4 linked regions of the Canis lupus familiaris genome follow. The protein of the gene in region 3 binds, or shares a complex with, the protein of the main gene of each other region. Links are inferred from orthologs where the notes say so. Each region holds a gene or a part of one and is shown on either strand. Other genes may lie near its edges. The genes, in order: AGK, TIMM22, TIMM10B and TIMM10.

Region 1 (7,359 bases), on a different chromosome or scaffold from region 3:
ATTGCATTTGTCAAAACATTTCCTCCATCTTTTTTTTTTTAATATAATACAAATTTTAAGCTTCTCAGGTCTGTTCTTTACATGCCAGCTAATGGAATTCAAGCACTGAGCCTTGAGAATACTTAGGGGGAAAGGAGGGATATGTTACCTTTAATCTACAGCTACAAAAAACTAGACACCATGTTGCATCCTAAGATTATCCTGACTGAGGCAAAGGCAAATGGAGACAGTTTACAAAAATATCAATATGAATTTCCTTTCTACTGACTACCTTTACAAAAGCTGTCTTCTGCTTAACAAAGCAGTCATTTAAGGCACCTGGACTGCAGTGTCCTTAAATACTTAAGCTGTAACCCTTAATCCCCAAAAGACGACAATTTAATTGGCTCTATTATTTATATAATTTTTTATACAAAAATTTTCTTTAAATCTTATTACCATGTTAAACCAGAGGGGAGCTCGGGCACTTTCTTCTGCTCTCAGGCCTGGAGACTAATAAAACCCAGGACTGCTGAATTCCGTATTCAAACAAAAGGTGTGAATGTCTTAGTCTCATTTAAATTCACCCAGGCTAATGGGATAAATGTGGAAAGTCACAGGGGCTGGAGCTAGCAGAATCAGTCAGGGTCTAACACAACAGTGATAACAGATCATAGTTAAGAAACTGAAGGAATTTTATAAAATCCCAAGGAGACAGGGGAGTTCAAACCCTTCTACTCAAAACTTGGGAGTTGACTTCTCTCCCTTTCTTCAGCTTCCGATCTCACTACTATCATCCAGAGTTGATGGCTCTGCTAGTACAATTTTCCAGGACTGGTTACAACAAGAAGCCTTTGTCTTTGTGCTTTTAACATATATTTATCTTTTACGCCATGATGTTTTACAGAGAAGAAAGAGCTCAGTCGAGCAAGATTTGACCTCAGGCCCCTTTAGGTGGTTTTGGTGTTGGAGGTGAAGGCGGGGTGGGGAATATTATGTATTTACCAGTGTTTTCCATACAGCCAATGGCCTCCCCATGTCAGCAGGCAGATCCCAGCTGTCGTTTTCTTCCAGTGATTTCTAAGTGTTTTAAAGAACACCGTCATCTTCTCCTAAAGATTTGCTAGGTTCACAGAGGCAGAAAAAGAAAAAGGTAAGTACCTAAGCTCACCGTGTAGAGCGCCGAGTGCCTTCCATCCGCCCATCCTCTCTGCTCTCCTTCCCTCACGTCTGTTCCTCCTTACCACACCTCCGGCCTCTTCCCGTCTGCTCCCTTGTAGGCTCATCAACTTCATCTTCTCACTGCCCACCTGCCTTTCTTCTTTCTTCACTTCTTTCTACCTAAACTCACTTCTTGCCTCTCTGCTCACCTGTGTCTCACCGTATCAGAAGCAAGCGGAGAAGAGCAGAGAAGGGAATTCCAGGCTTCCTGCATTTTCTCCCTCCCTAGTCACTCTACCACTGTTTTAAGAGTATTTGTCTACTATATACAAAGGCCTCAACAATAAATAAGTACCATAGAAGGCTTATTCAAAATAGAGGAAGACACTAGCCCCAAAATAGGAAAATAAGCGGAGAACACGCACAGGAAATTCAAAGGGCGAATACAACTGTGTGAAAATGTTCAACTTTCTAGGTAATCAAAGACATGCAAATCACAAAGAATTAGCACTGTTCACCTCTAAAACCAAAATTTTTTAAATGATCATATTCACTGATGACAAAATGAGATAGACACACTCATGCACTGCTGTAAGCAAAGGAAGTTCACACAACTTTATTAAAAAACCAAGTGACAATATATATCCTTATTCTGTTTGTTTTCTTCACAGCTTTTACCATTTGATGATCCTTATTTGCTCATTTATTAGCTTATCCCACTAGGACTGTAAACTCCACAAGAGTAAGGACTTTGTTCTGGTCACTGCTGTATCCCCATTCCTAAAATAAGATCTAGCTCCCACAACCCATTCAGTGCTAACTGCTGAATGTCATGGGGTTCAGGACACACCACCCCAAAATATGGCAACTTAGCATACTGAATATTTTATTTTTTTAATTTAATTTTTTTTGCATATTGAATATTTTAAGCTAAAGGAGTCTGAGACAATGAGTGACCACCAATCATTGACTCATTGTCAATGAGTGACAATGGTCAGAGTGACCAATGAAAGGTCACTCTGACCTCCCCACCTGACCCTTCTTTCCTGAAATAAGTCCTAAAACCCTCACTTATGAGGTTGCCCTCCTTAAACCCAGAAGGGATCATCATCTCTGGAGACACGGGGATGCCAAGAAGAATCCTTACAGGCCTTGCTAGGTTTCCCGTTTTCCTCATACTCAACCTAGCATATTCCTCCATGACTGTCCACTCTTCATCAAACTTAATTTTCTATCCACTGATCACTACCCTGTTCCTTGACTATAAACCTCACTTCCTCACTTGTAGGAGGTGAGAGGAGAAACCAGCCAGGTTTGCACTTGGGCGAGGATTTCAATCATTAGATTTGGACCGCGGGTTTGTGGAGAAGGGTAGTGTGTGCAGTTGAGAAGATGGTGGATTTGAGATGCCTGCAGGATACCCAAGTGGCTATCCAAATGACCAGTCTGGATTTAGCAGTTTGAAGCTAGGAGAAATTGGGTGGGAGATAGAGATCTGGGCCTTGTCCGTGTGGAGGAGGTCCAAAAACCACCGGAGGCAAGGATGGGGGGGGGGGCGGGGGGTATGCCAATACTGTTAGAGAACAACCTGAGAGTTGATAAAAAAAAAAAAAAGTCTGTTTACAGGCCATCCACGAGCCAATGGAACTCCTTTTTTGTTACAGAACAGTGCTTCATTCACAAAAATGTGGAAACACTTTTTTCGCAGGCAAGCGAGTATAGCGGAATGAGCAGCGGTGCGAGGATCCTGAGGCCTAGATGCCAGGGCAGCTCTCTCACTTCCAGGCGGTGAGAACCTGGGTAAGTCATTCGGCCTCCACCTCCCTTTCCCTGTTCGTAAAATGGGAAGACGGCATCTGCTCTGATCAACTCAGCTGGCTGCAAAAATCACACCTGCTGGGGCTGTGAACCCACGTTACTCGATAGTAAAATGAGGATACAACACCTGCTCTGATTAAGTGATCTGGATAAAAAGATCTCATCTGTATCTAAGTTGTCACGGCAATGTGCACTCTATTAACCAGCGGTGCATACTTCCTCTAAGTACCCAGCAGTATTCTTACTCCTCAATCTCGGGTAAGATCTGAATGTGATGCGTTCAAATGAACATCTCGCGTCTGGGGCCTCCGGGTGGCTCAGGGGTCGAGCACGTGCCTTCGGCCCAGGGCGTGACCCTGGGGACCCGGGATCGAGTCCCGCGTCGGGCTCCCTGCGTGGAGCCTGCTTCGCCCTCTGCCTGGGTCTCTGCCTCTCTGCCTCTCATGAATAAATAAACAAAATATTTAAAAAAAAAAAAAAACCCTCCCAATTTCTGGTGGGCAGGCGCCTCCAGCAAACACAACCAGGTAAAGCACCAGGAATGAATGAACCGACCCATCCACCAAACCGCCCGGAAAGGCCCAGAGGGGACAGGGGGCGGGGGAGTCGCCCAGGGCAGCGACGGCTCGGGGCCCAGCTCCCAGGCCAGCTGACTCCCAGGGGGACCCCCGGGACCCCGGCCCCGCCCCCACCCCGACCCCAGGGGCGGCTCCCGCCGCTCCGCTCCGCCCCGCCCCCCGCTCTGAGGCAGCCCCGGCCGCACCCCCGGCCCCGGGGGAGGCCCCCCGCCGCCCCGCCCCCATCCTCCGGCCCCGGGGGCGCCCCCGCCGCTCCGCCCCACCCCCCAGAGGCCTCCCGCGGGCCCCGCCGCTCGCCCCGGCCCCGGCCCCGGCCCCGCGCCGCTCACCCGGCCGCTCCCGCTCGCCGCCCCGGCTTCCTGTGTGCTCCCTCACGCTTCCCCCGCGCCTTTAAGGGAAACCGCGGCGCCGCCGCCCTCGGGTTCCGCTGCGCCCGCCCGCCCGCCCGCCCGCGGACCGTGCTGCGCGGGAGCCCGCCGGGGGCCGCCCCTTCTCCGGCGCCCGCCGCCCGCCGCCCCGCCCGGCGCCCGCGGAGTTTCGGGGAGGGCGGTGTCTCGGGACCCGGCGGTGTCGGAAAACCACGGAGCCGGGCACGTGCAGGAGGAAACGACAGAACAAAACACAACCCGCCCCCCGCCCCCCGCCCCGAGCTGTCGGACAGCGGGCGCCCGCGTTGGCCCCGCCGGGGGGGGGGGGGGGGGGGGCTGATGGGAGGGGGAGCAGGTGCCGCGCCGGCAGGTGCGCCCCGGGCGGCGGAGGGCGGAGGGCGGCCTGCACGGGACACCGAGCGGCCCGGGGCGCGTGCGGGGGGAGCCCGGGGGTGACGGCACCTGCCGTACTTGCCAGCATCGCTCTCCGGCCGCGCGGAGGAGCCGGGGCCGACGGCAGTTCGAGTCCCGCACCCCCGCGTTAGCCTTGGCACCACGCCAGCCCGTCCAGGCTGCCCTCCTACCTCCTTCCTACCTCCCTCCTTCCCCATCATTCCTCCAAACAACTTTGATGAGTGCGGGGCGCTGCCGCGTGGAACCCCGCGTGGTTCCTGCCTTCCCCGTTTGCTCCAGGTAAACGTGCGTCCTCCCTGGCTTCCCCTACATGCTTGTCTTAGGAAGCACCGCAACATCCAGCGGGTATAGTGCGGTAGGGCCCACCCTACCCTACCAGGTTCCAATCCTCACTGGGCCACCCTAGGTCATGGGAACTTGCAGCCCTCTCTCCTCTGTCTGTAAAGTAGGCGCTAAGAAGATCATCGTAAAACACATCTTCTAGCTATAAAATGTTGTGATACTAAAGGTATGGGAGACAGTTCTTGCCACTTCTCTTCTCCCAGCTATTTAGGACATGTGCTCTTGAAAATGAGTTGCCGAACTGCATCCCTGTAAGGCTAGAAAAATCTGAAGACTTCGCGCCGGATGGCCCAATGGGCAGACTAAGCTTTAGGGCTTCCGCAAAACAGTGGTTTCCAAAAATGAGAAACGTTCTCTTCGGATGAACGAACGTACCATAACTTCCCAACCAGAAAATCTAAAGAGAAATTTTCTCTCTCTCTCTCTCTTTTTATTTTATTTTATTTTATTTATTTATTCATGAGAGAGAGAGGCAGAGACACAGACACAGGCAGAGGGGGAAGCAGGCTCCATGCAGGGGGCCTGACGTGGACTCCATCCCGGGTCTCCAGGATCAGGCCCTGGGCTGAAGGCAGGCGCTAAACCACTGAGCCGCCCAGGCTGCCCAAAAGTTTTCTCTTAAAACTTAGGAGAGGAGAACTTGATTTTATTTGAGTTGGAGCCATGGACAGTTGGAAACATCAGGCATCACAAAGCAGGTGCCCAGAAGGCCTGTGAAGAAGGGCAGCAGGTCAATCCACCTGGGAGAAAACGACACCCCAGGAGAGAGGCAGCCCCTCCATGGGAGGGAGAACACAGAGCTGCATAGCATAGCAGGCCTCACTCAGGACCATCCCTCATTGAAAAGTGCTCAGGGGGGCCATGGGAATATCCATTAGCTTACATTCTTTCTTTATCATGAAGCCTTTAATTCACTGTGGTGAATGGGGACGTTGATGTCAGCCTGTTGTGTTCCCAGGAGAAAAATCTGGAAACAACTCCCAAGTTTCTACCTGGACTATGAAACTAGAAAAGATGAGACATCTCCACAGAATAAAAACTTCAGAATTACATGTGCAAAAGGCGGGGAGGGGCATGGCAGGTCTCTGAAAGAGACCTTGTGTTCTCTCCTTAAATCGCATGCTTGTATAGATAGAAACGGGGGAACTATGACTCAGATATGTCACCTGCAAATGGGAAATATCTGCATCAAAATAGGACTAAGTCATAAATTAGTCATAAATTCATCTTCAAGGAGTTAACTGTACCCATTACATGACACGTATTTACTGACATTTTAATGTGTTGCCCTAGTATCCCATTTAGTTTTATGACTCATGCCATTAATATTTTCCCTGTAGTAAGGCTATTGTTGGCCCTTTGGTTAAGCTAACAACTGTCCCCTTGAATCATTTCCAGAGGGACACAGTGATAAACAAGTTAACTAAGGATTGTCCATGCTTTGTAGAACTTAATCTCCCACCCCCTCACTCCCACTCTATGTGGGATTATAGTGAAAGCCAAATCTTAAACATGTAGTTTATAAATGTGTAAGGACACAAATGACGCTAAAACACAGAAACTTTTCAAATGCTCTTTTCAGACATCCTTACCAGCGCTGAGTGTTGGACATGGTGATGCACCACCTGTTGTCCCAGCTGCTGGGGGTGGTCAGACCTTCAGCTGTCAGCCCCCTTGGGGACAGCACCCAATGCAGTGAGCCATCTTCACCAATGTCACACCCTTCTGGAGGTGGCCCACATCCAGTGACTGATCTAGAAGGGAGTTCAAACGCTTGGTCATTTGGGCTAAAGCAAATCACCTCTGAGAGCCCCACAGCTCCTCACAGGGTCAACCGAGGCTGTCGGACACAACCCAGTTCAGCTTCTCCCTCGGCCCAATCTTGTGTCCTCCTCTCCCGTCTTCAGAGTGTTGGCACTGAACACTAAACACTGGGGTAGAGAGACCAATGACCTCCTAAAGATATCCTTAACCCCTAGAATCTAGTAATACTTTGCAGGGGTGATTAAGTTAAGGCTCTTGAGATGGGAAGATTATCTTGGATTATCCAGGTGGGTCCAATGTAATCACAAAGGTCTTTATAAGAAAGAGACCAGAAATCAGAGAAGCAAGCAGTAGATGTGAAAATGGTAAATAATTTATAAGTTATGGATAATGTTTGGGAAATCTGGGTGAAGAGTATACTGCAAGGAGGGGGTTTATATCAGTTTAAGATACAGAAAGTAATTCCTCCTCCACTGCCAGTGCTTGGATGAAAAATTGAGCATGTAGCTCTACGTAGACCAGAGTCTTAAGGGCCAATCTGCTGAAAGATCTCAGGAAAGGTTTCAATCTTGTTGAAGGGGGTGGGGAATTCAAGAAAGTGATGGTGATGAGCCCTACAAAGGTTATGCTCTATGATTGGTGAAATAAACCAGTCACAAAAGACCACATACCATGGGATTCTGTTTGCACGAAACATCCAGAATTAGCACGTACTTAGACATGGAGAGTGGAGGTTGCCCAGGGCTGGGGTCCGGGTGGTTGGAAAGAAGTGGAAAATGCCAATGGAAAGACTTCTTTTTGGGGTGATGAAGTGTGCTAGGGTTGGTTGTAGTGGTGGCTGCACGACTCTAGGAGTACAATAAGGGGACCATTGCGTGGTGTAGGATCTCTATCTCGATACAGCTGCAATGAGAATTAAAGAGAAGGTCTTACTT
Region 2 (7,438 bases), on a different chromosome or scaffold from region 3:
AACACTCACATGTTTGAAAATGTCAACTATAGCACGTTGTCCAAGGCCACAAAGAAAACCATGCAAGAGTTGTTTACTAACCTCTGAAACCAATGGCTCCTCCAGTGATGCAGCCACTAATGACACTGTTCTTCCAATCTGATTTTCCCCGGTACTGTGGGTGGAAAAGTGCAGTTTAGAGCCAAAGAAACAAGCCAGACAAGATGATTAAGGGAAAAAAAAACACAGTTTCTAGCTGGCTAATTTAGTCCCTCCCCCAAAGGAAACCTAATCCTTTTCACTTTCAAAAGTATAGTTCCTAAAATTTGAATGTGTTCATGGATACTTCCTGCAGGTGGTACCAGAGTGCTGAAACCAAGTGTACCATTTGAGAAGCAATCAAAATCTCTTCTCTGGTTCCCCAATAAGTCTCATGATTAAAATGATTAAGCAACTTCTAACAGACACATGAAAACATGCTCAATATCACTCATCACCAGGGAAATGCAAATCAAAACTAAATGAGCTAACGCCTCACATCTCTCAGAATGGCTAAAATCAACACAATAAACAACAGGTGTTGGGTGAGGATATGGAGAAAGGGGAACCCCTTTCCACTGCTGGTGAGAATGCAAACTGATGCAGCCACTCTGGAAATCAGTATGAAGGTTCCTCAGAAAGTTAAAAATAGAACTCTTGGGGTGCCTGGCTGGCTCAGTCAGTGGAGCATGTGTCTCTTGAGCTCAGGGTTAGGAGTTCGAGCCCCACGTTGGGTATAGAGAGTAGTTAAAAATAAAATCTTAAAAGAAAAAAAAGCTCTACTGTACAATCCAGCAGACTGCTAGGTATTTACCCAAAGAATACAAATACTACTTCAAAGGGAAACATGCATCCCGATATTTATAGCAGCATTATCTACAATAGCCAAATTATGAAAACAGGACAAGTGTCCATCTATTGACAAATGGGTAAAGATGTGATGTTTACACACACACACACACACACACACACACACTTGAATATTACTCAGCTATAAAAAGAATTTTGCCATTTGCAATGTCATGGATGGAGCTAGGGAGTATTATGCTAAGCAAAATAAGTCAGAGAAAAACAAATACCATATGATTTCACTCATGTGGAATTTAAGAAACAAAAACAAATAGGCAAAGGGAAAAAAAGAGAGAAAAGGGCAAGCCAAGAAACAAACTCAACTACAGAGAACAAACCGATGGTGACCAGAAGGGGAGGGGGTGGGGGATGGGTGAAATAGGTGATAGGGATTAAGGAGCGCACTTGTGATGAGCACCAGGTGTTGTATGGAAGTGTGGAATCAGACACCTGGATGGCTCAGCAGTTGGGCGTCTGCCTTTGGCTCAGGATGTGATCCCGCAGTCCCGGGATATCGGGATCAAGTTCCACATCGGGCTCCCTGCATGGAGCTTGCTTCTCCCTCTGCCTCTGTGTGTCTCTCATGAATAAATAAATAAAACCTTTAAAAAAAAAAGGAAGTGAAAAAAAATAAAAATAAAAAAATAAAAAAAATTTTAAAAAGGAAGTGTGGAAATCACTATATTGTATGCCTGAAACTAATATTACACTGTATGTTAACTAGAATTTTACAAAATTTAAAAAATAAATCATTAACCAAATTCTAGCCTACAAAGAAACGTAAAAAACAATGCAAGCCCAAGTAAATGCAATAAATGCACAAAAAGTTTACATTCAGAACTATTCAATGAAAATTCAATCTAGCAAGTATCAGACATTTCTGCTCTGCTTTCTAATTAATAGCGCTCTTTAGAAGTCATAAGATGGTACAAGTCTTTCTCAGAAGGCAGAGACACTTACAGATTCTACCAAACACTCGGTGCAAGAAAACATGGCGCCCACAATGGCAAAATTTTTGGCGTAAGACATTCCTCTCTGTCCCATGTCTTTCAGAACTTCTTTTGCTGTCGGTGTACGGTAAGGATCCTTAGGGTCAAAGCCCACATTGGTATCAATGCCAGCAGTGAACACTCCAAAGGCACCTCCCAAGACAAATCCTAAAAAGACACACAGATGAAGACTTCTTTGGCATGTTTTCTGGGTTACTGTAATGAGGTCATACTCGAATTGCACATTTGGCTGGCTACCAGCAAAGAGGACACCCCCTACCTACCGCCCCTACTCCATCTTACCAAACTCTCCAGTTATCTGGTTGCACATCACACAAGCCGTAAACTATCTTGTTGACATCTTCTTCTCAGTCTTTGATTTCTTCCTCTTTTCATTTTCTAACATTCCTGAAGATTCGATCTTTAACCTTCTGTTCTGTCTGTACTCATACATTCAACTCTCAACTTTGCAAATCACTCCCTTGACAATGGTGACATTCATAACTATCATTTAGTGAGTACCATGCTCCAATCACTCTGATGCTTTATAGTCACAGCTCCTTTTATTCTTCACAATAGTCTCGTGAGGTAGATACTATTACCCTTTCCATTCTACAGCTGAATCGGCTGAGGCTCAGGGAGGTTAAGTAACTTTCCTAAGGTCACAAAGCTACCAAATAGCAACCATACACTGCTGTCCCCATCTTTCTGAGCCTGCTAGACACTTCTATATAGATGTCCTCTCATCACCCCAAGGTCAAAATATGTTTAATGAAGTCATGGGCACCTTCCCTCCAGACTTTCTTCCTTCTTTCCAGGCACTCCAACTCCAAAGCTGAAGGGCATTTCTGACCGGTTCTTTGCTTTCCCCTACAACCCTATGTTCACAGTTATCATCCTAGTCTAAGGCCTGTATCACTCCCACTCTAGAGCATTACAAAGACTTATTCATCATTTTAACAAATATGTAAGTGATGTAGTAGGGTCGGACATAATGATGAACAAACACCAAGGCCAGGCTGCACTGCACCTCAGTTTTGCAAATTCCCTATGCCGTCTTCCCACCCACACTTTCTTTCTTCACCACACTCTATGCTGGGTCATCATGTGCATCAATTACTGCTCTAATGCCTAAAGACAAAAAAGCCCAAAGCCCCAACTCCACCTCCAACTTGAAAGGGCATTTCTCCTCCTCTTTACCCCCATTCTCTCAATCCTTCAAGATACAGCTGCAGTCTCACCTCTTGTAGCCTTCCCCAAACCATAAAAATACTGCTCTCTTTCTACTACATACCTGCACTCCCACTGTATTTGTTTCTTGTCTTTCATTCTCATGAGATTTCAACTCATCTGCAAATGTGGCCAACCTCTTTACAGGAGGGACACCATACACTCTCAAATCCTTTTTCAAAAGGTCTAAAAAAAAAAAAAAAGTGTGTGTGGGGGGGGAGTCTTTCCCCCTTGTTTCCCACCATCTAATCACACTGTCCACACTGGCCTTTGTTTTCTTTTTCTTTTTAAGATTTTATTTATTTATTTGAGAGCGAGCTAGGGAGAGAGCACTAGCTGGGGGAGGGGCCGAGGGAGAGGGAGAGGGAGAGAGCAGACTCCCCGCTGAGCAGGGAGCCCCAAGGCGGGGTGGATCCCAGGTCCCTGGAGTCATGACCCGACCTGATGGCAGATGCTTAACCTGCTGAACCACAGAGGTACCCCTGTCCTTTGTTTTTCAAACAGGAAGCCAGCTCCTACCGGACCTTGGCAGTTGCTGCTCCCCCATGTTCCACTTTCCTGCCTGGCTCCTTCCCAACATTCTTGTTTCTATATATATATATATATATATATATATATATATATATATATATATATATATATATATATATATTAAAATGTGAGCTTCATGAGAACCTGGCTCTGGTCTCTAACCCTGTCCCTCCACCCCTGAGCACGTGACGGTTACTTTTAACAACTCGTTGAAAGAATGCTTATTTAGGGACGCCTGGGTGGCTTAGCAGTTGAGCGTCTGCCTTTAGCTCAGGGCATGATCCCAGAGTTCCGGGATCGAGTCCCACATCGGGCTCCCTGCATGGAGCCTGCTTCTCCCTCTGCCTCTTTCTCTGTGTCTCTCATGAATAAATAAATAAAATCTTAAAAAAAAAAATAAAGAATGCTTATTTAAAAGCGAACCAACGAATGAAGGCAGGCATTTTATAACCTTTAGGCCCCAACCCATATGGTACCGATTCTCTGACCCAATTTCCAGGGGCGAAAAAGAACCTCAGGGCCTAGAGAGGGGTCACCCGAGCTCACGGATCCAGGCAGGGGTGCAGTCAGGAGCGAGGTCCACAGGCTCCTCGCCTCCCAGGCCGTGGTCTTCTTGGCAGAGGACCCCGCTGCCGTGCAAGCCCTCAGCCTCCCACCGGGCCCCCTAGTCTTGCCTCACCTCCCACGCAGGCCAGCGCCGCCTTGAAGGCGCAGCTTTCCATCGCCTTCTCGATCATCTTCTGTTCCTCACTCTTGATCGGGCTCGGGATCCCGCCCAGACTACTGGGCTCCAGCAGCCGGGGCTGACGCTTGTCGCCCACCAGGTACTGCAGAAGAAGGCTGTACTGCAGCGGGGCTTCGGCGGAACCCGCTGCCTCCGGCGCGGAGGCCCCCGTACTGGGGGTAGTCGCCATGACTGCAGATGCTCGAGAAACCCTGGCGTTCTTCTTCCCACAGCAGATTCCGCAAGCTTCACGTTAGGGCGCGCCTAGCCCCCGTGACGCAACGGCAGATTCGCCACAACGAGCAAGTGCAAGAAACGACGCCAGCGAAGTCCGTTCGTGCCTCCGGCGAAAGAGATACCATGTTCCCCAAAAGCCCCTTGTCAATACCGAGTCAGGCTTGTGCAGCATCCAAACGGCCCTAATGAACAAGATTCAGAGTCACCAGAAAGCGCCCTCTTCGTCAGGGCGGCAGCGCGGGGGGTACCGCGATCTGTATAGCCCAGGCATCTCCCAGGAGGCTCTGCGCGGGCGCGCGCCTCGGGGCCTCGTCTGGAGCTCCCGACTGCGGGGAGGGGGCGGAGGAGCGCCCCCGCGAGGCTGCAGCGCGCCGGAGCCTCGCCAGGGGGCGCACGCACCGCGCCGCTGCCCTTCCAGCCTACTCCTTCCTCGCAGGGGTGGTGAGAGGTAAATGGTGGAAAGTGCTTTGTGAATAAACGTAAAAGCCTGGTATAAGTGTATGCAATATATGTTTTATTTGACAATTAAACCCTTGCGGAGAGAGAAGGGGCCCAACAAATGAGTGAACTAATGAGCGAAGCTAGCTAAGTGTAAGAAAAGGAGGTGGAGGGATCCCTGGGTGGTGCAGCGGTTTAGCGCCTGCCTTTGGCCCAGGGCGTGATCCTGGAGACCCGGGATCGAATCCCATGTCGGGCTCCCGGTGCATGGAGCCTGCTTCTCCCTCTGCCTGTGTCTCTGCCTCTCTCTCTCTCTCTCTCTCTCTCTCTCTCTCTGACTATCATAAATAAATAAAAAAAAAATTAAAAAAAAGAAAAGGAGGTGGAGAGGGCAAGGCCGGGGCCCCTACCCACGCTCCAGCCAGTTATTGTTGTCGGTGGAATTGGTGATGTGGGACTAGCATTGCCCTGGAAAGCCAGGTTTAGATTATGTGAAACCAATTAAAGTGCTCACCAGCTTGCAGACTCAGAACCTGAAGGTAAACTGTAAGGTAGTACTATGCATGAATCCAGAAAAACTTTTGCACTAGTTTTTATGTTACTAAAATAGATTCCACACTATTGCATTGGTCCAGACTAGCAATGTATTTGAGTGTTTTAGCTAAGAGAAACCTTAATGGAAACAGGTGGTGAGCATAGCCAGTTGAGGTGGGCAGAGATATTTCTTTGGTACCCGAAGTTCTCAGTGCATCCCAGCACAGCATATGCTTTGATGTGGAAAACAAAGGCAGAAGAAAAATTGCTAAATTTTCTTACTCCCTACAGCCCAGTGACAAGACCTTGAAACAGGCAGAGTGACATTCCTCTAGGGACTCAATGCCTCCATGTTGATACTTTGTTAAGGGCAGAAGGGAATCTTAGGATCCTGTAAGTCTACTTTAACATATAGAAATTCCTTTAGAAATTTTCTTTATCTCTAACCCCCCAAGATACATGTTGGAGATCATCCCCCAAGCATATGACCTAACAATATTCATCTGAAGGGGCCCATGACATTATTGTATCAGACAGTAGTAAATGGCCTTTTCCCAACAATAGCTACCCCATCAAGGTCCTGGAAACCCTGCTTCCAAAATTCCTTAGAGACTTAAGGTGTCTCTAAGCCCTCCCAACTTAAAGTATATGAACAGGCCGCTCCTCATGACCCCAGAGCAGCTCTTTCTGCCCACAGGTCCTGTCCCCGTGCTTTCATAAAATCACCTTTTTGCACCAAAGACATTTCAAGAATTCTTTCTCGACCCTTGGCTTTGAACCCTAATGTCTTTTCCTACCTCATGCTTCACCCTGATTCTGTTCCCACCAAGCCATTGAGTGGGCTGGTCTGAGGGTCCCCAGGGATTTCCCAGTTGTTGAATCTCTTATTTTAAGATTTATTTATTTACTTGAGAGAGAGAGCGCGCGAGAACACAGAGGCAGAGAGAGAGGGAGAAGCAGACTCCTTGCTGAGCAAGGAGTCCAATGCAGGGCTCGATCTCAGGACCCTGGGATCATGACCTGAGCCGAAGGCAGAAACTTAAACGACTGAGCCACCAGGAGTCCCCTAGTTGTTGAATCTAATTCAGGCCTGATTTTACTAGACTTCTGTACTGCATTTGACACTGTTGTCTCCCTTCTTGTCTGAAGTTTCTTCATATTTTTAGTGGAGCCCCTCTTTCCTAGTTCTGCTACAGCCTCTCCAGATGCTCCATCTCCTTTGCACGCACCTCTGCGTGGCCTTTTCTTGTTGGTCCTCTCAGGGCTTCATCCTTTACCGTCTTCCTCCGCAGCTCATTCTACCTGAGCAACTCATCTTCGTGGCTTCTACTCCACCTCAAATTGCATTAATGACTCTCAAATCTAAAAAAAAAAAAAAAAAAAAAAATGACTCTCAAATCTTCATCTTCAGCTTAGACCCTTCTCATAAACACAGGAACCAGACACTTCCCATAAGCACCTCTAACTCAACATGCCCTCGCAACCACCCTTTCCTTCCAGATGAATGAAGGGCCCAGAGCTCTGATTTATGCTGAAGTCTTTTTTTCTTTTTTCAGATTTTGTTTATTCATTTGATAGAGAGCAAAAGTAGCAGAGCAAGAGGCAGAGGGAGAGGAAGAAGCAGGCTCCCCACTGAGCAGAGAGCTTGATAAGGGGCTCGATCCCAGGACCCTGGAATCATGACCTGAGCCAAAGGCAGATGCTTAATCAACTGAGCCACTCAGATGCCCCATGCCAAGATCTTCAGAGCTACAGTTGGATCTGAGAGAACCTGGGACAGCCACCCCCCACCCACCCTTGGCAAGTCCCAGGTAAGGTGGCCTTGGAAAACAAGGAATGGTCTAAATAATTAACCCATGGAACTACTTAGAGAGTAATAATCAATCCC
Region 3 (6,873 bases):
ATGTCCACGGAAGAGTCCTCCCACCAGCAGCACAGTATTCAAGGTCTCCATTCCTGTCTTGGAACTGGTTAAGTTCACAAGCTGCTTTAGCTGAAGTTTTACGTTCCAAGGAGAAAATTTTAATGAGTAGACACAAACCCATTCAGTAGGGAATTTCCTGGTCAGCAGCTTGTACATTCCTAGCAACCATCTGTTGAAGATATAGGAACTAAAGAGATGAAAAGCCATTTGGAGCAACTTTTCTCAAGAGGTAACTACGTAAACATGGGGCTCTGATACATTCTGGATTCTTGCTTCCTCATCCATTAAGTGGGGAATAATATCTCTTACTTGTAGTTTTGCTATAGATTAAAATAGGGATGCCTGGGTGACTCAGTGGTTGAGCATTTGCCTTCAGCTCAGGGTGTGACCCCAGGGTCCTGGGATCGAGTCCTGCAGCAGCCTAGGGAGCCTGCTTCTCTTCTGTCTCTACATCTCTCATGAATAAATAAAATCTAAAAAAAAAAAAAAAAAAAGGCTGAGATAAAGCAGGACATATACCAGCACTGGAACCCATACAAATCAGATGGCTCAATGGTATTTTGAGAGGCAGCCTGGTGTAATAAAAAGTACATGGATTTTATTTTTTTAAAAAAGATTATTTATTTATTTATTTACTTATTTATTTATTTATTTATTCATGAGAGACAAAGAGAGAGAGAGGCAGAGACACAGGCAGAGGGAGAAGCAGGCTCCACGCAGGGAGCCTGACACAGGACTCGATCCTCAGTCTCCAGGATCACGCCCTGGACTGAAGGTGGCACTAAACCACTGAGCCCCTGGGGCTGCCCAGAAGTGCATGGATTTTAAAGCCAGATCTGTATCTGTATCTTAAAAAGATATTAATATCTTAATATTAAGATACAGATTAATATCTTAATCTGTATCTTAATAAAGTCTGCTACTAGAGAATTTCAACTTCCTGATCCACATAGGGGAAAAAATGTCTGCTTTGTGGGTAGTTGTAAGGAGTTTTATGGGAGCCAATGTCTAAGAGCTTCCATTTCCTCCGTAAAAAATGAAACATGGTCCCCTGATGGAGGATAGCTGAACGTGAAATGGGGGATAAGAGCAGTGAAGGTGTAAACTAACTGCCTTGGTGATTAGGAGACAAAAATATACCAGGAAGCCACAAAGGGTTGCTTGTTGGTTGACGCTGGAGACCTTGAATGGTTAGTGCCACTCATTACACAGCTGTGTTTTTGTCTAGCAGTCTGAACAGAAGAACAGTAAAGGTAAAACAGCTGGAATGATACAAAAAGGACACAAGGGAGGCAAGAAAATGCGGTGATGGGGTGATAGGCCATTTAGAATGGTGGCACAAGTAAATTTTATGAGGGCAATAAATGAGAGAAAGATAGAGAGGCTCAGCATGGAAATAACAAAACCGGGACAATGAAAACAATGATGGGTAGAGGACAGAAGAGCTGGAATTAGATTATAGACTTGGAGGTAACGATAAAGAGGTCCCAAGGATTTGTTTTATCTTTTTCCCCATAACCATCATCATCTATTTCTCCCCTGAGCTTTTGTTCCTTGGGTCTGGCTATATTGTAGAATATGGTCCTCCAAGTTCCCCCTTTCTGACTGCTCCTGAAGACAAGCACACAGACCTTCTTTGTGTAAAAGCTTTACTGCTCATCCTGGGGAAGACAGAAAATAATAAGAAAATAACAACTTGGGAAAATGGCTGAAGTTCCAGAACACCCCGAAATCTTACAGGTTTCATTTCAGTTACGGGGCTACTGACTTTCCAGAAGGCACTGCATACAAAAACCCTGTGATTTCTTGATCTGTTATTCTTAGGTATCTCCTCCTTCCCCTAAATTTAGGAGAATTCTTTAGAGCCCATGAAAAGAGTTATAAATGAATGCACACCCAGCTCACAAATAAACCATTAAGTCAGATTTAAGTGAAGGACAACAAGAAGAGCTCTTATTTTCTCTGCCATCTGGGCAGGAACCAACTTCCTATTGCTATTACTAACATTAAAATCGTACCACAGGGGTGCCTGGGTGCAGTTGGTTAAGTGTCTGTCTTTGGCTCAAGTCATAATCCCAGGGCCCTGGGATCAAGCCCCGCATCTGGCTCCCTGCTAGGCCCGGAGTCTGCTTCTCTCTCTGCCCCTCCCCCTGCTCATTCTCTCTCTCTCTCTCACATAAATAAATAAACAAAATCTTTAAAAAAAAGAAAGAATTAAGTAAGATGCACCTGGGTGGCTCAGCCATTGAGCGTCTGCTTTTGGCTCAGGGTAGGATCCTGGGGTTCTGGGATCAAGTCCGGCATCGGGCTCCCCACAGGGAGCCTCTGCTTCTCCCTCTGCCTATGTCTCTGCCGCTCTCTGTGTGTCTCGTGAATAAATAAACTCTTTACAAAAGAAAAAATTGTACCCACAGGCCTTGTTTTAACCAGGTGCCAGGAAATGTTGAGGTTTTCCTTCTACACATAGAAGCCAATTTCTCCACTGCCAGGGCTGAAGCCAACAGATATGCGCTGACAGGATAAAGGATGGGGCCAATAAAGCGGGCAAAGCTTCCGTGCCCAGAACATAAATCAAACAGTGCAAAAGTGGGTTTATTGGCTCCAAGAAAAGGAGCAATACTACCCAGCTGTCAGACAACCCCTCACTCTATATATGGGCTGCATCCAGCCCAAGGTCCACTGGCTCCTTCAGTTTGAGGGTCCATCCAGCGCCTCCCTTCCTAGCTGCCTGATGGTGAGGTTCCGGGCTGTTCTGCAGCAACACCTGGCCCAGCTGAGGCAGCCTCGTAGTCTGCGATGCGGCGCTGTACCAGAGCCGGCATGAGCTGCACGTAAGCGGCCATGAGGCGGTGGTTGGAATGGATCAGCTTCCCAGCACAGCTGTGCAGACAGGCCTCCTGGAAGGAAGACAGGGTGAAGCATTGGTGTCCACTGGTGTCCGTCCCATCCCTGGCCCAGGGGCAAGGGTCATGGAAAGGCCCGGGCCAGAGGTAGGGGCGGTGGAGGTTGGGGACAGTCTACGGCGAACCCCACCTAACCTCTTCAGCGTCCAGAGCTCGGTGGTGCAAGCTGGGCACGCAGCGCTGGAAGCAGAGTTCCGTCATCCGATTGTAGACCAACAGGAAGTCCCGCAACTAGGAGAGAAGGGGACAAAGAGCCCAGCGATAAGGGGGCACCTCGAGGCCGCGCCCTCGAGGTTTCCCAGGACGGCGCGCCAGAGCGCGACGTTCCCAACCCTCCGCCCTCCAGCCAAACGGACGAAGATGCCAGCTGAACTGATGGCCCCGTCGCGACTTAGCACCCACTCACGTTCCTCAGCTGCTGCTGCTGCTGCTGCTGCTGCTGCGGCTCCATCGCGCCACCGGCGCACGCACGTCACTTCCGCACAGCCTCTTGGTAACGCCCCGGAAGTGACCTCTCCTGGCTCCCCGGGGACTGAGGGGTTGCCTCAAGGATCGCCCCGCCCCTGGCTTTAACGTCATCTCCGCCCTTATAGTCTGCGACGTGGCCGGCTTCTTCTGCCCGGGAGGGGACGTCACTTCCGCCGAGTCCCTGACCTGCTGCTAGGATCGCGACGGGAACTGGAGCCCGAGGTCCCCGCGCGGCCCGGGCCTGGCGCCCTGAGGGGAAGAGCGGCCCGGCCCGAGGTGAGAAGGACATACTTGGGCAAGGGGAAGTTGAATGCACGAGCCTGCCCCGAGGGAAAGATGCTACAGAGCCCTGGGGAAGGATGAGGACACACCTGATGCCCAGGTGTGGGGTGGGGGGGGGGCGGGGACTAACACACCTGGGGGACATAACTGACTTTGGAAGGGATCACTATGTGCTGGGAAAATGTGGCTTTTCCCAGAGGCCAAGAACGGACACCAACTGATTCAACTAGGGCCTGCAGGGGGAGGGCTGCAGGAGGAGGGGGTGCATGGGATGGAGGAGGGAGAGACCACCTGAAGGAAAGGGGAAGCAACCCTAAGGGAGTGTGAGAGGCCAAGCAATGGAGAACATACCAGAGCGGGAGGAGTAGGCTCCTGAGCCCTGGAAAGGGGTTAATCTGATGGGAGGAAACAGCTGCATGGGGGTAAGTTCCAAAACAGCACAGACTTTCTCTCCCTTGGCCACTGCTGTGACCTCAAATAGTAGTCTGTTGAATGGTTGAACGCATGAGTGATCACCTGAGTCCTGGTGGGGTTGGGGGTCCGTGAGAAGATACTGGGGACCTGGGTGTGCATGTGGAAAGATACACACCCTGGAGGGGAGAAATACATATCTACGAGAAGAAAGGAGTGGTGGCCGAACCCCAGGATACTCAAGTCTTGGGACAACCTCTAAAATCTCTGAAATGGTGGGGGAGACTTTTCTTTCGGGAGTACTGGCTAGTTTCCAGAACTGTCTGTGTTGGGCTTTGCAGGGCGCTGGGGTGGAGACTTTGACTCCAATCCCTTCCCTAGCCATGACGGACGGGATCCTAGGGAAGGCAGCCACAATGGAGATCCCCATCCACGGGAACGGTGAAGCCGGGCAGCTTCCTGAGGATGATGGGCTGGAGCAGGTGCTTCTGTTTGATTCTTCTCCATATTGTTTCAATTTAGGAGTCCAAAATCATAAGCCCTGGGCTCTCACCCCATTCCAGGAGTTTTCCCCTAACTTATCTAACTCCCTCCAATCTTTACATATCTTCATTCTGATTCTATGCAGACTTCCCTTGTGTGCTCTCTCTGTGATGCTTCAATCCAAGCTTGTTCTCACCCCCCAAATGCTTCAGCTGCCCCAATGTTCCTGAAGCCCCCCTCTTCTCTGGCCTATAGGACCTCCAGCAGGTGATGGTGTCAGGACCCAACCTCAATGAAACCAGCATTGTGTCTGGTGGCTATGGGGGCTCTGGTGATGGACTCATCCCCACAGGTATGAATGATCAGAACAGGACAGGAAGCTTGAATGGACAGAGGGAGTGGAATGGTTCTGGGGAGTATAGGATATGCCTAAGATAGCTTGAACTATGTCTGGAGATTTTGGGAACTCTTGCTAGTACAAGCCCAATGGACTCTACTCAGCCCAAGGCTAGAGCCTAGGGCTGTCCAACTGCTCCCGCTTGCCATTTAGCCCTGAGATGTGTCCATTTGTCCTTTCTTTGCTGCCACCACCTGAATCACATTACGAACTGTTTTGCAGAAGTTCTCCTGCTTTGGAGCTTGAGACTTATTTGGAACTCTGAAGCTTCTCAAAGTTTTGCTTCAGATTCTCAAGTTTAGAGAAGCAAATAGCCCTGAATTTCACACTGACTAGGATTCCACATGAGAACGTCAATGAGATTTCCTATTGTCAGGAACCCACCATCCTTGACCTGCCACCCAATACTCAGCATATTTTCTTCTGTTTTCTCTGCCCCTGTACATCAGCAACTCCCTCCCTCCCCCCACTCCAGCCCCCATCACCATCTCAGGAGGAGGCCAGATATATATTGGGATTTGGGTTTCAGGGCACAAGGTATGAGTTCTTCCTAGTGAGTAGGAGAATTTCTAGTTTCTGCTACTTCAGAGAAGTCATTTTCATGGTGGGAAGTCGGTGGAAAGTCATTTCATAGTGGGGTCGGTGGGAAGTATGGGTGGAGCCACAGAGATGTCTGGTTATATCAGAGAGGCTGGTGTCAAAGAACTTGGTTCTTTAGGGTCTGGCCGCCATCCATCTCACAGTACCACTCCTGCTGGCCCGGGAGATGAGGTGGCTCGGGGCATCGCTGGAGAAAAGTTTGACATCGTCAAGAAATGGGGCATCAACACATATAAGGTGGGATTTAAGCACCTTTCCCTTTCCCCTTCCCCAGACTTCCCCTGGGTACCTTTTCCCCATCTTCCAGATTCCACTCTCCCATCCTTGTCTGAGACGAGGAGCCTTGGGATGCTAGGGTAGATACCTGTTGGGGGGGCAGGGTGCTAGGGTCTCTGACCTATTCCCCCACTTCCCAATCAGTGCACAAAGCAGCTGTTATCAGAGCGATTTGGCCGAGGCTCCCGGACTGTGGACCTGGAGCTAGAGCTGCAGATTGAGTTGCTGCGTGAGACGAAGCGCAAGTATGAGAGTGTCCTGCAGCTGGGCCGGGCACTGACAGCCCACCTCTACAGCCTGCTGCAGACCCAGCATGCACTAGGTGACGCCTTTGCTGACCTCAGCCAGAAGTCCCCAGAGCTTCAGGTGCCTTGGTCAGGCCAAAGAGGGTGGGGGGACTGGGCCCGGGCCCTCCCAGGCAGTCAGCCCTCAGCCTCCCTCCCTCCCTCCTGCAGCCCAGAGGGAGAACCCCTCCAGGGTAGGCCCAGCCCTACCCCCAGCAGCACTCACCTGTGGAGGCAGCCTAAGGGTTTGTACAGAGGTTCAGAAGTTGGAGGGGTGGGGGAGGCGGCACACTAGATGCCTCACAAGTAACCCTTCTCTGCATCGGTGCTCGGCCTAATCAGAGCCCCCCTCCCCGCCCCTTGCCTGCTGCACTAGCTTTCCCTGTTCTCGTCCTGTGAACTTATCTGAGAACCCACTCCCATACTCCTACCCCAGCCATCCCCGGGGTGGCCCCAATAACTTTCTGGCTAAGAGAGCCTTGCTGGAGCAGTCCTTGGTTGTTCCAGTTTTGATGGCTCTTTCCTTCTGGGGGAGGAGGGGAATGAGGGCCCTATAGCTTTAGTTAGGTAGGAATTGTTGCTCAAGGCCTATCCTCCCCTTCTGCCCTCAGGAGGAATTTGGCTACAATGCAGAGACACAGAAGCTGCTGTGCAAGAATGGAGAGACACTGCTAGGGGCTGTGAACTTCTTTGTCTCTAGCATCAACACTTTGGTCACCAAGACCATGGAAGACACTCTCATGACTGT
Region 4 (7,157 bases), on a different chromosome or scaffold from region 3:
AATCTCACAACCTCAAGATCAAGAGTCACATGCTTCTCCAATTAAGCCAGCCAGGTGTCCCCAAAGAGAGGCCATTTTTTAAAGAAGATTTTATTTATTTATTTATTTATTTGAGGGAGGGAGAGAGAGAGAGAGAGAGAGAGAGAGAGAAAATGTGCACAAGCTGTGGGGAGAGGGAGAGGGAGAAGCAGACTCCCAAGCAGAGCTTGGTCCCAGGACCCCAGGATCATGACCTGAGCCCAGGGCAGATGCTTAACTGACTGAGCCATCCAATTGCCCCACAAGGGGCCATTTTTGAGAAATTGGGAGAAATTGTATATGTGCATAAGATTATATTAAGAAATTACTATAATTTTGAAGGCATGAAAAAAATGGCATTGTGGAAAAGGACTTTATCTGTTAGAGGTAAAAACAGATGAAAATATGGCTAAATGTTAACTGTTAAAGTCTGGTGATGGGTATGTGGAAATTCAGTATACTGTGCTCTCCACTTTTCTGTATGTTTTTAATTTGCTCTAATAAAAGTCTAAAAATTAAAAGAATGAGAACAATGATTTCTTTTTATTGAGCATCTGCCATGGACTAGGGGCTTTTAGTGCATTTTTTATTTTTCATTTTTGTAAGGATTGTTTTAACTTTTTATTTTGACATAATTGTAGGATTACAGGAAGTTGCATAAATAGTACAGAGACAGTACTGAAGGTTAAATCTTACATAACTATATGCTATATCAAAGCCAAGATATTGACACTGGAACAATAGTGTATATAGTTCTATGACATCTTATCTCACATGTTTAGATTCATATAAACAGGGACCCCGGGGTGGCTCAGCAGTTTAGCACCTGCCTTCCGCCCAGGGCATGATCCTGGAGTCCCAGGATCGAGTCCACGTTGGGCTCCTTGCATGGAGCCTGCTTCTCCCTCTGCCTGTATCTCTGCCTCTCTCTCTTTCTCTGTGTCTCTCTCATGAGTAAATAAATGAAATCTTAAAAAAAAAAGAAAGATTCATATAAATATCTCCACAATCTGGGTGGATAACCATCCCATTGCCACAAAGATCTCCTTTGTTCTACCCCTTTATAGGCACACCTTCCTCCCTCTTCTCACCTGTATGGCTCTAACCCTTGGTAACCATTAATCTCTTTGTCTCTATAATTTTGTCATTTTGAGAATATTATTTAAATGGAATTATATAGTATGCTTTCGTAACACCTAATAAAAATCCTTTTTTTTTTCTAATAAAAATCCTATCGAGGAAACAGATTACACTTGTAAGAACTCGTTTTCCCATGCGATTTCTTTTTTCTTTTAAAGATTTCATTTATTTATTCACGAGAGGCAAGGTCATAGGCAGAGGGAGAAGCAGGCTCCTTGCAAGGAGTCCAACGTGGGACTCCATTCCAGGACCCTGGGATCATGCCCTGAGCTGAAGGCAAGCTCAACCGCTGAGCCACCCAGGTGTCCCTCCCATGCAATTATATTCCATAATATGTTGACTATATTATTAAAAGCAAAAACCACTACAACATGTGTCCACTAAAACATACATACAATAGTATTCACAGCAACATTGTCCTAACAGCCCCAAGCTGGAAACAACCCAAAAATCTATCAACAGTGAATGGATAAATTACCTGTGGCTCATTCATACAATCTAACATTAGACAGCAATAAAAAAGAATGAATAATGGTTACACACAACAATGTGGATGAAATCTTAGACGCTACATTGAGCTAAAGAAGTCAGGCACAAACCAGCAAATAGTGTATGACTCCATTTACCTGAAGTTCAAGAATAGGCAATAGAAGTCAGAATACTGGTTAACTTTGGGAGAGCCGGTATTGACTGGTCAGGAACATAAGATAACTTTTAAGGGTGTTGGAAATACATTGTATTTTGATCTGAGTGGTGCTTATGAGCATAAATATATATTTAAAAATTAAGCTTAAATTTTATGTATTTTAGTCATTTTCCTGTATAGATGTCATACCTTAATTTTATTGAAAAAAAATTTTTTTTAAGTAACCTCTACACCCAAGGTGGGGCTCAAATTCAGGAGGATGGCTGGGTGGGGGGTGGGGGGAGGTTTGGAATCAAGAGTTGAATACTCTACTGACTGAGCCAGCTAGGGGCCCCTGTTATACCTTAAATTTTTTTTAAAGTGTGTGTCTATGAATTGAGAAATATTTATTTTATTTATTTTTAGTTTTTAACTTTTTTATTTTTAAAGATTTTATTTATTTATTCATGAGAGACACAGAGAGAGGGGGGCAGAAAGAGGAAAGGCAGGGTCCATGCAAGGAGCCTGATGCGGGACTCCATCCCGGAATCTGGGATCAGGCCCTGAGCCAAAGGCAGATGCTCAACCACTGGGCCACCCAGGCGCCCCTATTTTATTATTTTTTTAATATTTTATTTATTTATTCATGAGAGACACACAGAGAGAAAGGCTCCATGCAGGGAGCCCTATGTGGGACTCCATCCGAGGTCTCCAGGATCACACCCTGGGCTGAAGGCGCCGCTAAACCGCTGAGCCACTGGGGCAGACCTATACCTTACTTTTTTTTTCTATACCTTAATTTTAAAAAAGATTTTATCTATTTGAGAGAGAACGCACGCGCTCAAATGTGCACGTGGGGAGAGGCAGAGGAGGGAGAGGGCGAGAATCTCAAGCCCATTCTGCACTGAGCTGGGGGCCAGGGCAGGGCTCTGTCTCATGACCCTGAACCGACCGAGCCACCCAGGCACCTCTAGCTTAATTTTCAAGGATTGGGGCACCGGGTTTGCGAAAGAGGAGTCCTTGGAGGAGACATGAGGGCTGAATTTAGGATCCTGACTTTCTTGGGCAGTGAGGGAAGCATACAGTGACCAGCCATACAGCGTCCGGCCCACCTCCTCCAATGGGCAGCGGACGCTTTGCATCTTGTACACTTTGTTTACTGGGAAATCCCTTGAGAAACAAAAGGATTGGGGGCGGGTTTCTGTGGTGTAGGGGTTCAGATGGAGCAACGCACGCACGGGGTCTGGAGAGAGCAGCTCACAGCCCCTTCCTCCTCCTCGCTCTGATGCACTAGGTTAGCCCCGGCGGCAGCCAACGTTGCTCTTGTTCATCTCTCTGGGCCGGGGCGTCTGGAAGTTGCGCGGACCCGGCTCGTCCTCCTGCGAGCCCGGAGACAGCTTAGCACCTGCGGGCCGCTGCGCTCCCTCCGTCCGGGGAGCTCTGGCTCGCAACCTCGGCTGCACCAAGAAACCGCCCGAGGTCAACTGAAACATTTACTGAAGTCTGCGTCCTGCTCCCAGAGGTTCTGATTTGCTTGGTATGAAGCGAGGCATGGGCATCGGGGCACTGGGAGCGGCCCGGGCGACCGTAACGAGCAGCACAGACACTACGGCCTTGGAGGGCGTCCTTCCTTCTCCGCGCCGCGCCGGGGTCTGTGACCCGCCGTCGAGCCTCGGGGGCTGCGGCCAAGCTTCGCGGAGCCCCGCCCTCCGGCGCCCGCCTACAGACAGTCGCACTGTGACCTCTCCGCCGAAACCCTGGGGACGGCACCGCCAGGCTGCAGGCGCTCTGCACTGCGCCCAAGCCTCTATGGTATTTTGGCGTCCCCTCTAGCCCTTGCAAGTCGCCTTCGGGCACGGCCGGCGGCTCCTCTCTATGGTAGCCGATTTCCCCGCGCCGCCTCGTAGGGGCTTCACTCCGGAAGCGAGTCCGATCAAAGGGGAGGCGGGACTTCCCTCCCGGAAGTGACCCACGTGCTTCCGCCTTAGCCTACCTGGGCGTGCGGCGGCTGTCTAGCGTTTGCGCGAAGTTGAGGACACCGCGGGCACAGTGACTGGCCCCAGGCCGTGGTAAGTGACCGCTCGCTTCAAGGTGACCCCGATGCACCTCGCCGCCACGTCAGAGGTGCAGCCCCTGGGCCGGGACCCGTGGACCTTTAGCACCGCGTGTGATCGAATTCCCAGGGCCCTGGAGGTTCAGGCCCCGCGGTTCAGTGTTCCTTTCCGGTCCCGAGATCTTTTCCTGGGTAGAGTGGCCACGAGGGGCTGGGGCGCCAGGGCTCGATTTCCAGCCCCTCCATTGACGTGCTGTGTTCCCCTTCCGGGCCTCAGTTTCCATATCTGTGAGATGGGATAGTTGAGCCCACTGAGGTCAGTGACCCCTGCCCGCCCGGTGTCCTATGATTGTTCCGCATCCTCTACGTCCCCCTGGGATGGGAAACGGAACGGGAGGGCTCGAAGCTGACGGTGATGTCCGCTCCCAGGACTAGGAGGCCAGGAGATCTTTCCCACGGCGCAGCGCTGAGATGGATCCGCTCAGGGCCCAGCAGCTGGCTGCCGAGCTGGAGGTGGAGATGATGGCCGATATGTACAACAGGTGAGAGCCGACAGCGCGCTCCTTGTCTTTGACAGTGATCCTAGGTCACCCTTCCTCAGGGCACCTGTCGGAGGGTGCGCACCCCCACCTACGCTCCTCGTGGCTGAGGGCCAATGCAGACGCGGTACGGGTCGCTAGAAGGAGTTGGACATCTAGGTTGGAATGCACTTGGCAAGCGAGAGAAGCCCCAGTCCAAGCTCTGGTTGGCTTTCAGGAACGGTTGAGCGTTTGCCTTTGTGGCAAACAGCACGCAGCCCGCTTGGTGGTTTACATTTCTTAAACTCTTACTCCACCTCGGGCACATGCTGAGCATTCTACGCGCCTTCATCTTTTGTGATCTTCAAAATGATCCACCGGGTCGGTCTTAGTTGTCCCATTCTAAGGTGAAGACATGGAGGCTTCTAGAGGTTAAATAACATTCACAGGGCTCACAGTTGGTCAGTAGCAATGTCAGGACCAGGACCTCGGTCTGACTCCAAACGAGTGCCCACAACCATTTGGCAGATGCGGGAACAAATCATAACTGCGCCAATCACCACTAGTGTGGCCGTGGGCAAGTCACTTGGACTGCTTAGTGGTTTTCCTGTCTATAAAATGGAGGTGGGGCACATGATGGTGCAGTTGGTTGAGCATCTGACTCTTGATTTCATTGCAGGTCGTGATCTCAGGGTCATGGGATTGAGCCTCACATTGGGCTCTGCACTCAGCAGGGAGCCTGCTTGACATTCTCCCTCTCCCTCTCCCCTGTTTGCCCACACACATGCCCGCGCAAGTGCTCGCTCTCTCTTTCTCAAATACATAATACTAGTTCTTTTTAAATAAATGAATAAATATTGCTTCTAATCCTTTTGGCTAAGATCAAGTGTAAAAAAATAAATAAATAAAATGGAGATAATAATGGTGCCTACCTCAAGGAGACATTATAGATGTTAAATGTAGAAATGTGTGACAAGGGGTGCCTGGGTGGCTTAGTCGGTTAAGTGTCTGCCTTCAGCTCAGGTTATGGTCCTGGGATCGAGCCCCACGTCCAGCTCCCTGCTCAGTGGGATGTCTGCTTCTCCATTTCCCTCTGCCCCTCTCGTTGCTTGTGCTCACTCTCTCTCTCTTAAATAAATAAATAAAATCTTTTTTTTTTAAAGATGTATTTATTTATTCATGAGAGACACAGAGAAAGAGACAGAGACACAGGCAGAGGGAGAAGCAGGCTCCTCGCAGGGAGCGTGATGACTCAATTTCAGATCCCCGGATCACAACCTGAGCCAAAGGCAGATGCCCAACCACTGAGCCACCCAGGCGTCCCATAGATAAATAAATTCTTAAAAAAAAGAAATGTATATAACAAGCTCTTATTGGGTTTGTATCATGCCCAGTACAAAGTAAGCAGTCCACATGTTTTCTGGTTTTATTGGCTTCAGCTCCATGGTATTTTCTCTTGATGGCTTATCTTGAAGGCTGTATATTAGAATACTTCCAAATATTTAAATAATTTAAAAATGCAGGCCATGAGGTCCTGTGGGTTCATATCCCAGCTTTACAGGATCCTGAGGCTCTCCATGCCTGCATTTCCTTATCTGTAAAATGGGGATAAAGATTGTGCCTGCCTCACAGGGTCATTGTAAGGACTGCATAACCAGCCATGTCAAGCACTTAGCATGATGCCTGGAACATACCCAGTAGTCAACTAATGGCTCCTGTTTAAATAAACTTGGGCTCAGATCAGGTGAGCACTCTCAAGGACCTTCTCAGTTAAGATGCGAACTGAGGATTTACACTGCCTTCCTGGGATGTGAAATTAGCAGGGCAGGCATGATGGAGAGTTCCTGGTTGCCTCAAGATGCTGCTGAGCTGACCTTGCCCTTCCTTCCCCTCCAGAATGACCAGTGCCTGCCACAGGAAGTGCGTGCCTCCCCACTACAAGGAAGCAGAACTGTCCAAGGGCGAGTCCGTGTGCCTGGACCGCTGTGTCTCCAAGTACCTGGACATCCATGAGCGGATGGGCAAAAAGTTGACAGAGTTGTCTATGCAGGATGAAGAGCTGATGAAGAGAGTGCAGCAGAGCTCTGGGCCCGTGTGAGGCCCCAGACAGTATACACCCCAAGGTGTGCCCTGCCCCTTCCCACTCGCCTAATAAAAGTGCCCCTATTGGGTGTCATCTGTGAAGACTCCCGGGCCTCGGCTCCCTCTGGAGAGCCTCCAGGAACCCAGAGTATGGTAGAGTTACTCTCCCCGGTTGGAGAAGGGGTATTTGTCACACTGTGATGTGACTGTGTATGTACGTGTATGTGTGTGTGTATATATTAAAACAGATTTGTTGACACCTACCACACGGAAAGCAGTCTGCCTGGCATTTGGGAGCAGGGGCAGCAGACACAGCCTCCACCAGCAGAGGGAGTCTAACGTGTTTAAAAGCACAGACTAGTGGGAAGTTTTAGGTTGTACTCCAGGTCAGCCACTTGCTGAACATGTCACTTCACTGTGCTTTAATTTTCTCATCTGTGAAAATGAGGATAATCATCTGGTGGTTGTGAAGATTAATGGTTTAATACGTTTATGGCATTTAGAATGCTAACTGGGACAAAGGAAGTGCTCAGTAAATACTAGCTGTGTACATGTGTTTAACAATTTAAAATTTAAGTGGAGTCAGGTGGGCAGTTTTCCAGATAATAAAGGAATATTTAGAGGAGCAAGTAACAGGAGATGGGATTTGAAAAGGAAGTAGCCAAGCCAGTCCCTGGATTCTAAATGGCAACATGAAACATACGAAGGGTTCAGCTTTGTG

Evidence for each region.
Region 1: TIMM10B (region 3) and AGK share a complex: the UniProt entries of both Homo sapiens proteins name them as parts of the TIM22 complex. The link is inferred for Canis lupus familiaris from reciprocal best matches to the Homo sapiens genes TIMM10B and AGK.
Region 2: TIMM10B (region 3) and TIMM22 share a complex: the UniProt entries of both Homo sapiens proteins name them as parts of the TIM22 complex. The link is inferred for Canis lupus familiaris from reciprocal best matches to the Homo sapiens genes TIMM10B and TIMM22.
Region 4: the proteins of TIMM10B (region 3) and TIMM10 are in contact, whole or in part, in a cryo-EM structure (PDB 7CGP), measured with the Homo sapiens proteins. The link is inferred for Canis lupus familiaris from reciprocal best matches to the Homo sapiens genes TIMM10B and TIMM10. Residues at the interface, in NP_036324.1 of Homo sapiens: Gln7, Leu11, Leu14, Arg15, Phe17, Leu18, Leu19, Tyr21, Asn22, Arg23, Met24, Thr25, Glu26, Cys28, Phe29, Val33, Pro34, Ser35, Leu36, His37, His38, Arg39, Leu41, Glu46, Leu49, His50, Ala53, Gly54, Ile57, His61; in NP_036588.1 of Homo sapiens: Ala6, Leu9, Leu13, Glu16, Met17, Asp20, Met21, Arg24, Ala28, Lys32, Cys50, Asp52, Arg53, Cys54, Ser56, Lys57, Tyr58, Asp60, Ile61, His62, Glu63, Arg64, Met65, Gly66, Lys68, Leu69, Leu72, Asp76.

Annotation. Positions count from the first base shown.
Region 1 is NC_049237.1:7,418,435-7,425,793, forward strand, and holds the start of AGK (acylglycerol kinase, mitochondrial), read right to left. Parts: upstream 3,983-7,359; 5' UTR 3,866-3,982; intron 3,626-3,865; exon of another isoform or gene 3,204-3,625; intron 2,678-3,203; exon of another isoform or gene 1,224-2,677; intron 1,103-1,223; 5' UTR 1,086-1,102; coding exon 985-1,085; intron 1-984. UniProt on the Homo sapiens protein: Lipid kinase that can phosphorylate both monoacylglycerol and diacylglycerol to form lysophosphatidic acid (LPA) and phosphatidic acid (PA), respectively. Does not phosphorylate sphingosine. Phosphorylates ceramide.
Region 2 is NC_049230.1:44,794,673-44,802,110, forward strand, and holds the start of TIMM22 (mitochondrial import inner membrane translocase subunit Tim22), read right to left. Parts: upstream 4,854-7,438; 5' UTR 4,532-4,853; coding exon 4,297-4,531; intron 2,025-4,296; coding exon 1,828-2,024; intron 155-1,827; coding exon 82-154; intron 1-81. UniProt on the Homo sapiens protein: Essential core component of the TIM22 complex, a complex that mediates the import and insertion of multi-pass transmembrane proteins into the mitochondrial inner membrane. In the TIM22 complex, it constitutes the voltage-activated and signal-gated channel.
Region 3 is NC_049242.1:30,302,973-30,309,845, reverse strand, and holds TIMM10B (mitochondrial import inner membrane translocase subunit Tim10 B), read right to left. Parts: upstream 3,471-6,873; 5' UTR 3,376-3,470; coding exon 3,331-3,375; intron 3,156-3,330; coding exon 3,060-3,155; intron 2,919-3,059; coding exon 2,742-2,918; 3' UTR 1,654-2,741; downstream 1-1,653. Other genes in the region: ARFIP2 (arfaptin-2), read left to right, coding at 4,469-4,567, 4,824-4,920, 5,684-5,802, 5,986-6,207, 6,737-6,873. UniProt on the Homo sapiens protein: Component of the TIM22 complex, a complex that mediates the import and insertion of multi-pass transmembrane proteins into the mitochondrial inner membrane.
Region 4 is NC_049239.1:39,103,567-39,110,723, forward strand, and holds TIMM10 (mitochondrial import inner membrane translocase subunit Tim10), read left to right. Parts: upstream 1-3,351; 5' UTR 3,352-3,852; intron 3,853-4,265; 5' UTR 4,266-4,307; coding exon 4,308-4,378; intron 4,379-6,250; coding exon 6,251-6,452; 3' UTR 6,453-6,704; downstream 6,705-7,157.